2 linked regions of the Schizosaccharomyces pombe genome follow. Changing the gene in region 2 together with the main gene of any one other region gives a genetic interaction. Each region holds a gene or a part of one and is shown on either strand. Other genes may lie near its edges.

The links. Genes that interact genetically often act in the same process or in processes that back each other up.
Region 1: mutations in sck2 (region 2) and opy1 together harm fitness more than expected from each alone (negative genetic interaction), as found in Schizosaccharomyces pombe (2 studies listed by BioGRID).

What each region holds. Positions count from the first base shown.
Region 1 is NC_003421.2:944,016-948,399, forward strand, and holds opy1 (protein opy1), read right to left. Parts: upstream 2,370-4,384; 5' UTR 2,246-2,369; coding exon 2,126-2,245; exon of another isoform or gene 1,845-2,125; coding exon 1,782-1,844; exon of another isoform or gene 1,732-1,781; coding exon 1,656-1,731; exon of another isoform or gene 1,618-1,655; coding exon 857-1,617; 3' UTR 501-856; downstream 1-500. Other genes in the region: pog1 (DNA polymerase), read left to right, coding at 1-457; ade10 (bifunctional IMP cyclohydrolase/phosphoribosylaminoimidazolecarboxamideformyltransferase), read right to left, coding at 3,817-4,384. UniProt on the Schizosaccharomyces pombe protein: Binds phosphatidylinositol 4,5-bisphosphate (PtdIns(4,5)P2/PIP2) at the cell membrane.
Region 2 is NC_003424.3:5,045,115-5,051,033, forward strand, and holds sck2 (serine/threonine protein kinase S6K family Sck2), read right to left. Parts: upstream 3,899-5,919; 5' UTR 3,404-3,898; coding exon 1,463-3,403; 3' UTR 502-1,462; downstream 1-501. Other genes in the region: Golgi-specific 1-phosphatidylinositol 4-kinase, type III-beta Pik1, read right to left, coding at 4,295-5,919. UniProt on the Schizosaccharomyces pombe protein: Protein kinase that is part of growth control pathway which is at least partially redundant with the cAMP pathway.

The sequences.
Region 1 (4,384 bases), on a different chromosome or scaffold from region 2:
ATCCATGAATCATTTAATTAAGAAATATTATCTAGAAGCTCGCCTTTCTTTAACTGTTCATGACGAGGTTCGTTATTTATCATCAGATAAAGATAAATATCGGGTTGCATTTGCCTTACAGGTGGCTAACTTGTGGACTCGTGCGTTTTTTTGTCAACGACTTGGCATCAACGAGCTTCCACAATCTGTCGCATTTTTTTCTTCCGTTGATATTGACCATGTACTAAGAAAAGATGTTAAGATGGACTGTGTAACACCCTCTAACAAAGTCCCCATACCTCCTGGAGAAGAGCTTACTATAGAGTCAGTTCTAGAAAAACTCGAGCAGTCCGGTCAATCACTTGAGCCACTTGAGCAAATTCAGTGTTTTGTGGATGTTAAAGCTACTACTTCAGCAGAGATTACAGAAGAAGACAAAAAAAACATTGCATATTTAAAAGCACAAGCATTTTACTGATCAGCAAAAGAATAATTTATTTTAGTTAAAAAATGTGTTTTTCGGTTAGGATAATTTTAGGGATAGTTATGACATTGAAAATAATTTTCATCAAAAGGTTTGTTTAGTGGAGCGAACGATGGTACTACAAACTGGCTCATGACGAAGGAAAAAAATCATTAAATTAGAGCAAGAAAGACACTTTTGTAACTAGCTGTGTCGATTTTCGGACATTATCGGAAATATTATTAGACAAAAAAAAAACAACGAGATAGTCAAAACATATAGAAACAGAACGGATCAACACGTATGTACACGAAGGGTAAGGGGAGTCTTATGAAAGGAAATCACAAGAAGGTAGCTAGAAAAGTAGCTGAGGAATCGTATTATGCACCAAATATTTTGATGGAAAAGCCATTTTTAACAAGCAGTAAAAGTACCATTGGCCTTGTCAATAGAAGTCTTAAGTGCAGCAACCCAGAGTATAAGTGAATCTTCGTTATCAACGCGAAATTCGATAGGTTTGTTTTGCGTAATTACGGTAAAAAAGTATTTGTGTGAGCTTTCCGGAACGTTTATTTCAGCAACATCCTGAATGTCGGCTATCGGTATCACTTTAACAGGTTTGTACTCTCGGTTCGTGTTGTAAATAGTCATACCATATCCACGAACAACAGCCCAACACTTGGACCACCTATGTAAATTTCCATGTAGCCAGTGAATGGTTCCTTGCATAAGAACTTTATTTTCATCCAAGAGTTTATAGAGATTTTGTAAGGAAGCCGAATGCCTGTGCTTATTCAGCGTATTAACTTCTTGTGGGTTGAAGGGGTAATTTGCATTTTCTTCATTGATACCTGGTGGTCTCAACTTTCCAAACTGTATCAAATCATAAAGTGAAGTACAGAAATGGTCACCCTGACCAGTTTCCAAGTCTAAAGGAGAAGTCGTTTGATTACGAGGTTCAGTCGAAATATTGTCGAAGTCAGTATCAGAGATCTGAACGTTAGGCTCGCTTTCGGTTCGAGATGAAGAGTTCGCAAGGATATAACTGATAGGATGTCTTGAAAACGGTGCCCTATAACCCGTTGTGGATCTTAGAACATGAACCCATTCCTCAGCATCCTCATTTGAAGTGGCAATGAGACGAATTATCTTTTCATTTAAATACAGGAAAAAAGCTAAACATTAGATATAAACATCAAAAATTCTAACGTACTTTTTGGTGATTTTTCTTTGTAGTAGGCAACAGCTGAAATATCCTGAGTAGGGAAAATAAATTTGGTTTTGTACTCCTTGAAGACTGTTAGCGCGTCGTTGAAATTTGCACATTTTATTCACAAACCTTTTCGTCTTTGTAAAAAGATAACTGATCTCTGCGAAGAACAGCCCATAATTGCTTTTTAGTCTAGGTTGTTAGCATCCACTACAAAAAAAACCATGAGTGCAAATATTGACTCTGAAACGGGAAGCAAATAATTGGAATATTCTGAAAATCAATTGGTCAAAGTGCTTGTAGGGTGCTGTTTGCATCATCATATCCCCAAATCAAAAGCGAACAATAAAGAATTAAGAGTACGTATCATTCACTTCTAAGTACACTTCACAAAATTAAAGAATACTCCAAATCCCTTTCCACTCAAACGTATCGTAAATATTACTCAGACAACTAAGTTAATGAATACATACAGAAGTTGCATGTCCTTTCTTTATCAACCATCCGGATTTTAAAACACGCTCAAGCTCTGGAAGCCTTCTTGCTTCATCAAGGCTAGCAGTTCTGAGATGCGATGAAACTCCTGGGTCCATTTCATCAAGCGAATAGTCAAACTAATAAACGCCTTCTTTCTTTTGAATACATCAAGAAAATTCCTTAAACTGAAAGGTGTTAAACTAGAACGATGTAAAGTCGTCCTCTATACAGATTTTGGTTAAAATCACGTTTCCTAACGCATACGTGTTAGTGGTACCAGCGACGTACATATTCAGTAATAGCGTTCATTAACGTATCGCTATTTGTCAAGTGAAATTAAAATGTATGGTAGAGAAATTTCAATAATAGAAATGATAGTACGAATAAATTGTAGCAGTAGAATTGAGAAGCCTTCTTTTTGAAAAAGGTAGTCTGAAAATATGTCATCTTTATTTTGAGAGGCATACAACCATATAGTACATGGACACAGTAATCGTGTAGAAGTGCTACATCTCGTATACTAATTAAGAATCAAAAGAACTTTTGTAAATCCTACTGTTACAGAAATTCAACTTTAGGTTGTATTGGTGCACAGTGGTAAGGGATTGTTGTAAGGACTGGCAGGATGAAAACAAAAAAGCTATTTAAAGGGAGCACTTGTTCGCTGTAACAAAAAGAAAAGCAACAAGAAAGAAATACTTTTTTAAATATTTTTTAGAGAACCACTTTCTCTAATGTAGAAAGCGTTGGTCTTTCCCATTCGGTTCGAGACCTATGAAAGCTACTCAGTAGATACTGAGTTAGTAGGGAGTAGGGTTTAAACGTGATTTTAGCATGGTTTCTTGGAATAATAATAAAAATTCCCTTCCGTCCTCTATGCCATCTTCTTTATGCTTCACTTTACGTCCAGATAGTTGATAGTTTCCGGTCTTGTAAGATGATTATTGATATGGTAAATCAATCACAATCGAATGAAAGATAAAAGAATAAGAGTATGTAACCCTTTAAGATGGGAAATATATCAAGCAAGAATGGGGTTAAAAAAAAAACAATTTTAAAGTCATTAAATCCTTTTTAATACCATTAAATAGTACTAATTTTGCTCGTGAGTAACTAAGGTCGGGTAGCATAGTTGGTTATTGCGCACGACTGTTAATCGTGAGGTCGAGGGTTCGAGTCCCTCCCTGACCGGATTTTTTATGCTTCAAATCAACTGCAGCAAAAACATACGCTCAATCAATTTAATAGAAATTTGCAAACACCCAAGAACATGTTTAACTCAGTCAGTTTACTGCGAAGCTCACATCCAAAAAGCAGGTTTGATGGCGTTTTCCTTTCTACTTCATATGTTAGCTTAGCAACCAAAAATGCTTTATTGAGCCCGTTATGCTGTGAATTTCCAAGCTTTCGAATAAAATTGTTGCATTCGTGTTAAACAATAAAAAATATTTTCCCTACTATTACTGAAATAAAATGCCTTGAGTATCGGAAATCTTTTCAAAATTCAGGATACAAAAAAGATGCCAAATTTTTTTATATTAAATCAAAAAAAGTAAAAGACGTTGAAGTCTTTATTGTAATACCTCTATTAAATGATGGTATAAACTGAGGAAACCTATCAAATATACAGAACAAAAAAAATTATATCCATAGTAATAGTGGTCAAAAATTAGGTATACAAACAAGATTAATGGTGGAACAAACGCAAGGGGATCTCGGAAAAGACCATGTTGAACTCATTAGCAGTGTCGCGAACAGCTTGATCCATGACACTACCGCCAGGTGCAGCAACATATTTGACACCGCTTTGGGCAAGACGATAGATGTTGTCAGGGAAGGGGAAGAAGGCATCACTGGCACAGACAACATCCTTGCAAGTAGCCAAAAATTCCTCCCGCTCCTTTTTAGTAAGAGGCTCGGGAATAGTCTCGAATGCAGACTCCCATTGCTCACGTTCACTACCTTCAGCAGGAACGGCATCAAGGACGTACAAGTCAATAGCGTTAGATTTCTCAGGACGCTTAGCAGACTTCTTAAATTGCATACCCAAGACTTTAGGGTGATGACGAAGCCACCAGTTATCAGCCTTATCACCGGCCAAACGGTTGCAATGAATGCGGGATTGTTGACCAGCACCAAGTCCAACAACCATACCATTCTTAGCATAGCAAACAGAGTTACTTTGAGTATACTTAAGAGCAGTGGTAGCAATAACCAAATCAATAAGAGCAGATTTGGGTAAATCCTTGTTCTTA
Region 2 (5,919 bases):
TTGAGCTTTTGAAAAAACGATCCCGCCAGGAGTCGAACCTGGAATCTCTTGATCCGTAGTCAAGCGCCTTAACCATTGGGCCACGAGACCTTGTTATCATTACAAATAAAATATACTATTTATTATACAAGTGTGTTTTACTTAGTCAAATTGAATAAGTCTAGTATTACAAAACAAGAAGAGTCTTTAGTTTTCAAGTGATTTTTGAGAAAATGTAATTGTTTTTTTTTTTTTCCTTTTTTTATTAAATTTTATCTATTTTTCGTACTTACCGATATTTTTTACTTCGTTTTAAATTTTTTAGTTTAGTTATTTACCTTTTCTCCATCAAGACCATACATGATAACAATATTATGTGTACCATAAGTTAAAGAATATTTATTATAATTACTTTTTTTAATAAAATGAATGTACAGGTTATTTTTTTACATATTTAGTTTTTATAAACATTATATCGAATATTTGTGGCAAAGACCCACAAGACAAATGAATGAAGAGAATCACAAGTAAAATAAAAATCGATAAACTGGTTTCCAAAACCATAGTTAAAAAATTTTTATGTCATTATCGTTATATCTAAAACAAATTATCGTATACGACAGTATCCAAATACATCTTCATCTGAAGATCTATTACAAAACGACCCTCAAGGAGGGCATCAATAATACTGCTATTGTACTTTGTCTTTTCTTTTTTTTAAATTCCTTTGCGTTTAAAAGAATATGTCTTTAACTAGATTCTAACATACACCATTATACATTCGTAAAACTGAACTTCAACCTAACTGAATAAACGTCTATCCAGCAAAAGAGAAAAATAAAAAAAAAATAAGGAGAGGAACAAAATCGAAGACATTACAATTGGAGATAGAATAGCCTTAAGCAAGATGACAATTACTTAGTAAAGCAAAATACCTTACTACTAATGTCAGCCAATTCAACGAATTTTGGAATTGTGTAATTACCACTGTACACAATTAAGTCATAGTTCGGAACCAAAAAAACTAAGCACAATTTGTTCCAAAATTAGTTGATTCAACGCCATACAAGCCCAACATTACACCAAAAAAGCCTGGTGAACGTAGATTAAAATATAGAAATAATAGATCCTTTGATCATTAAGTATTCCCTTAATATGCACCGAAAAAAAATGAACTTCACCCGAACCTGCTTCCACATAAACAGGCATCTTAATAACAATCCTAAAAAATCATTCTTAGAAGGGAAATAAAAAAAAATTAAAACGATACGCTTCAATGATTAAGCGCTGATTAAATTAAAACATTATTTACCTGTCCTTCAAAATACATGTTGAAATTTTGCTGGACAACTAGTAAATAAGAAAATAGTACAACGATTGAAAGCGTGTACAAAAAGATACTCTCGGGTTCAGGGATCCAGCCTAGAAAAAATATGGGCATAAGATTCTCAATGCAGTGATACATTCGTGGAGACCAAACGTATTATGGATCTATTTGTCCCATAAATACCTCATCGTTCGCACGATTTAAGTCCATATCGGAATTGTCCTTAGAATAATCATCTTGACTGGAAATACTAGAAGCAGAATCATTTGAGTTGTGGTATCCGAATGCTTCATCCATAGCACTTGCGTCAATATAGGTAAAACCCTTAAACCCATTTTGGACAGTTGATGATAAAGGTGCAGAGGTCGACATTTCATCTGTGCTACTAAAGTCTCTATCGATTGCTTTATTTGTAAACTCGACATCAAAATTAGAAACATCTATTTCACCTTCCACTATTGGTTTAAATGGTGGACTAATTTCTTTCGCAGCGAGTTTCTTCCAATCAATTCCATCAAAAAATGGATGCTTCATTACCTCTTCAACATCCCCATGTGCACCAAGCCTATGCTTTGGATTACGATTCAATAATAGCTTAATCAAATCTCTGGCTTCTACAGATAGCAACCCTCTAGGAAAACGGACTTTACCAAACACGATATTCTTGTAAAGTTGTTGTGTGTTATCAGCGTAGAAAGGGCTCCAGCCACATGTCATCTCGTACAAAAGTACCCCTAAAGACCAGAAGTCAACCATCATATCATACCCTGCTTCGTCTAAAATAACCTCAGGAGCTAGATAATCCGTGGTACCGCAAAACGTACGTGTAGTAGTCCCCACTGAAAGATTGGCCTTTGACAAACCGAAATCACATAAGGCAATATGTCCTTGAACGTCCAAAAGAATGTTTTCAGGTTTCAAATCCCGATATACAATTCCTCGTTTATGCAACGCTTGCAAAGCAAGCAACAATTCGGCAATATAGAATTTTGCCCTTTCTTCTGGAAATCGTACCGATTTTTGAAGGTGCCAAAATAATTCGCCTCCAGCCATATAATCTGTCACCAAATATAAATCTTTGGGGGTCTGAAAAGAGAAACGTAAAGCAACGATGAAGGGCGAATCAGCTGCAGAAGTTTGGACGAGAATGTCTCTTTCCCCAACAGTGTGTGCAACTTCTTTGCGACGGACTATTACTTTTTTGGAAAGTACTTTCATTGCGTATACGCGCTCGGTGTCTTTTTTACGAACAAGATAGACTTGACCAAATGTACCTTTTCCAATTAATTTCAACGGAACGAAGTCATCAGGGCCGTAGGAGTGTTGACTGAGAGGCTGGAAAACAGTATTGAGAGAAAGACGAAGATCAACCATACGGTTGTATGCGGGAGAAACTTCAACGCTGTTGCAAAACTGTTCAAATTGACCATAATTATAAGACGGGTGAATGTAAGTTCTCCCAACAAATTCATTATTATTACCATGGTCATAAATATTAACATCGATGGGGACCGGTTTAGCAACATCAAATACAACATAAGATGGAGTTAAGGGATTTGGAATTGAAGACGTACGTTGAATTGCAGGAGTAGGAATGGGATGAGAGCTCATCATAGATGAACTCCTACTCACATTAGCAGAATCCCGACTAGATGTGCCTATATCACGGCCAGGTGATTCCCATTTCAATGGAGGTGAAACAAACTCCGTCGTACCAAATTGAACAACAACAAACAACTGATTAAGTCTTGAGCATTCCATGGCTAATGCTGCATCAGTATGAGGTCCTCCCAAAACTAATGAACCTATTTGAAGTTTCAAATAGCCTGAAGGTTCATGGTCAACTTCAGGTAATATATCATTACTATTTCTGTTACCAACCGTAGACTGGTCACTGGCGAATTCTTCCATGGGATGGTCTATCGAGGAAGGACCTAAATTTGAAACTGAAGGAAGTGAACCACCTTCACCTTCCTCAACTGGTTGATTGGTTTGGATGCTTGCCAAAGGACTTCGGGGAAGTGACCCTTTAGCAGAATTGGTGGAAACCGATTTTTTAGACAGCCCGAACCAATTTTTTGCCCACTTATTCATCATTTTATAATCACTCAAAAAACCAATTTATGTACGATTATTGTAAAAGAAAATACGAACACAAAATGTCACTGTTGGATTAATTGCTTGTAGATGCAAAAAGGGATTTTCTTTCTTTCAAGCAAGAAGAGGTATGAAAATGAATTCAAAAGGTACTTGTTTGACTGATATAATCACGACTTAATACCTGCATAAAATTTAATGATGTAAAGTCTCAAGTAATAATTCACCTCAGTTGGATATAATCCTGATAAGAAAAACTATTAATCAACACTAAAATTTTCCTACCAAATTTCTTTGTTATATCACGAATACTGTAATCAATATGAAGATACCCCATTAACCAATGTCAACTACAATATTGTGCAAAGAAACAACCCCTAGTAGAAGAAGGAACAAAGGATTATAACACAAAATTATAAATGAAAAGAAAAAAATTCCAAGTTCTAATATACAATTACTGTTTGCGCCTAATTTTTCAATTTGATGGTAAAGGGTAAATTGAAGTGGGTTGCAGTACCTAATCTTACTTTAAAATTTGGTATGTCAATATACGGAAGTGCGAAAGGATTCTTTAACCCGGATTTAACTACGCCAAATTGTTTGCTAACTTAGAAATGCAGTTAATTTAGACAGTATGCTTTAATAGTATATTATAATTGCAAGGGTTTCTAGTGGGTATGATAAATCATATAGATCACATAAAATATTTTTAATGCATTAATATAGCTAATCTAGCTAACAAAAAAATTACCAAATTTACGAACCATGGTGAATGTGGTGATTTTAATACAATATTGAAAGTTAAAAAAGCCAACCAGCAGTATGGTTCAAGTGTGGAAGCTCCGTAGCTGTATTCGAAAAAAATGAAAAGAGAAAACGAATAGCCACTTACTAGTAAATTCCGTTCGTAATATTTTGAAACAGATCATAAAGTCTCGTCCAAACACTACAATTTGCCTTTTGAATCAACAAATCCACAAAGTCATCACATTCTTTGTCACCAAGCTGTAGTTGAAAACGTTGCAAAAGTTGTGCACTTGTGTTTTCACCAGCACGAAAGCAAGGCATTGTGGAATTATTTTGCATAACTTCAACAAGCAAAATGATCTGATCAGCGTTTTTTCGAACAGATTTAAACGCAGCTTTCATCAAGGAACGATATTCATCAAACCGGTCGTCAAGGATTTCTAAATAATCCGCCGTAAGCTTAAATGGAGCGCTTTCAAAGCCAACATTCCCCGGTGTATTCGTAAGTAAAAAGCCAAAATCAATATGTATAATATGACCTTCACTATCAATAAGAACGTTACCATTATGTCTATCCTTTAACTGTAGTAAGTATGATATAATGCTATATGCCACTAATGATTGAAGGAAATTTGTCTGTGCCTGTCGATACCGGCTGCTGTTGGGATCACCAAACTGCTTTATAAAATAATCCTTCAATGTAACAACATTTTTACCAGCAATTTTTCCTTGGGCTAGTTCAGCTTCCCGAAGCTGTTTCGTCAAATTCTTTTTAATAGAGTGAACACTAATGGCATTTGTAATCGTTTCTATTAAGCCACTATTGTCGCCGGTCACTAAAATTTTCATCCTTCGAACCCAAACCTTTTCTTTACACTCTAGCCAAACACGCTGAAACGCGTATATAAGTTGACAGGCAAATGTCTCTTGCCGGAGATCCGCACCCGTTTTAACAATCACACTGACCAAATCCCAATTGGGATAATGACCATAAGGAGAAGACTTTCTTATCCTTTCCTTCTTGGCATACCAATCTTCTTGGAATGTAGCGGCACTGGGATCATCTCTATCACCTTTCCGTTCTGCCTTTTGAGTTTCTTTGCCAAATCGCAGATCTTCTGCGCATGATATGTCGACTGAAACAGGATAAATGGATGGTTCATTAAGGCGCTCTTCTTCGAGTCTTTGCATGTCAAGAATAATGCTATTTTTTATTCGTTCAGTCTCAGCTTTGGGACGTCTGCTACCTTCAGCATCAAGCTGACTTAGCATAGTTGCCGCAGCTCGCATTCTCGCTGTTATTTCTGAAGCATAGATTTTACTTCTTTTTAAGGCGCCATTTCCATCAGAATCAGAGTGGCGCCCAGATAACAGGACGACATCGGTATCTCTATGAGAGGACGGTACCTGCAAAGATACATTACCAAACGAAGAGAATGACTTACTCAAAGAAAGAGTGTCCGGTACCAACCCTTTTATCAGAGGAGACATACTTAAATCCCCTCCCTCACTTTCCGACTCTGAAATATCATTGTCGGTACTGTCTTGAAGGTTCGTATAAGGATCGACATCTGTGAGGTCAAACCACCTTTTTCTTTGGTTTTTATGAGAGACAATCTTTTGCACCTTAGCCTTATTTTTCTTCGATTGTGGCTCGAAGCTGAGTTCACCAGATAGGACCTCAACCATAATAAGATAAGGTACTCGTTCGGCAGAATTGAGTATGGTAGCCTCTTTAGGATCAATGCGAACGATTTTATGACTCACTT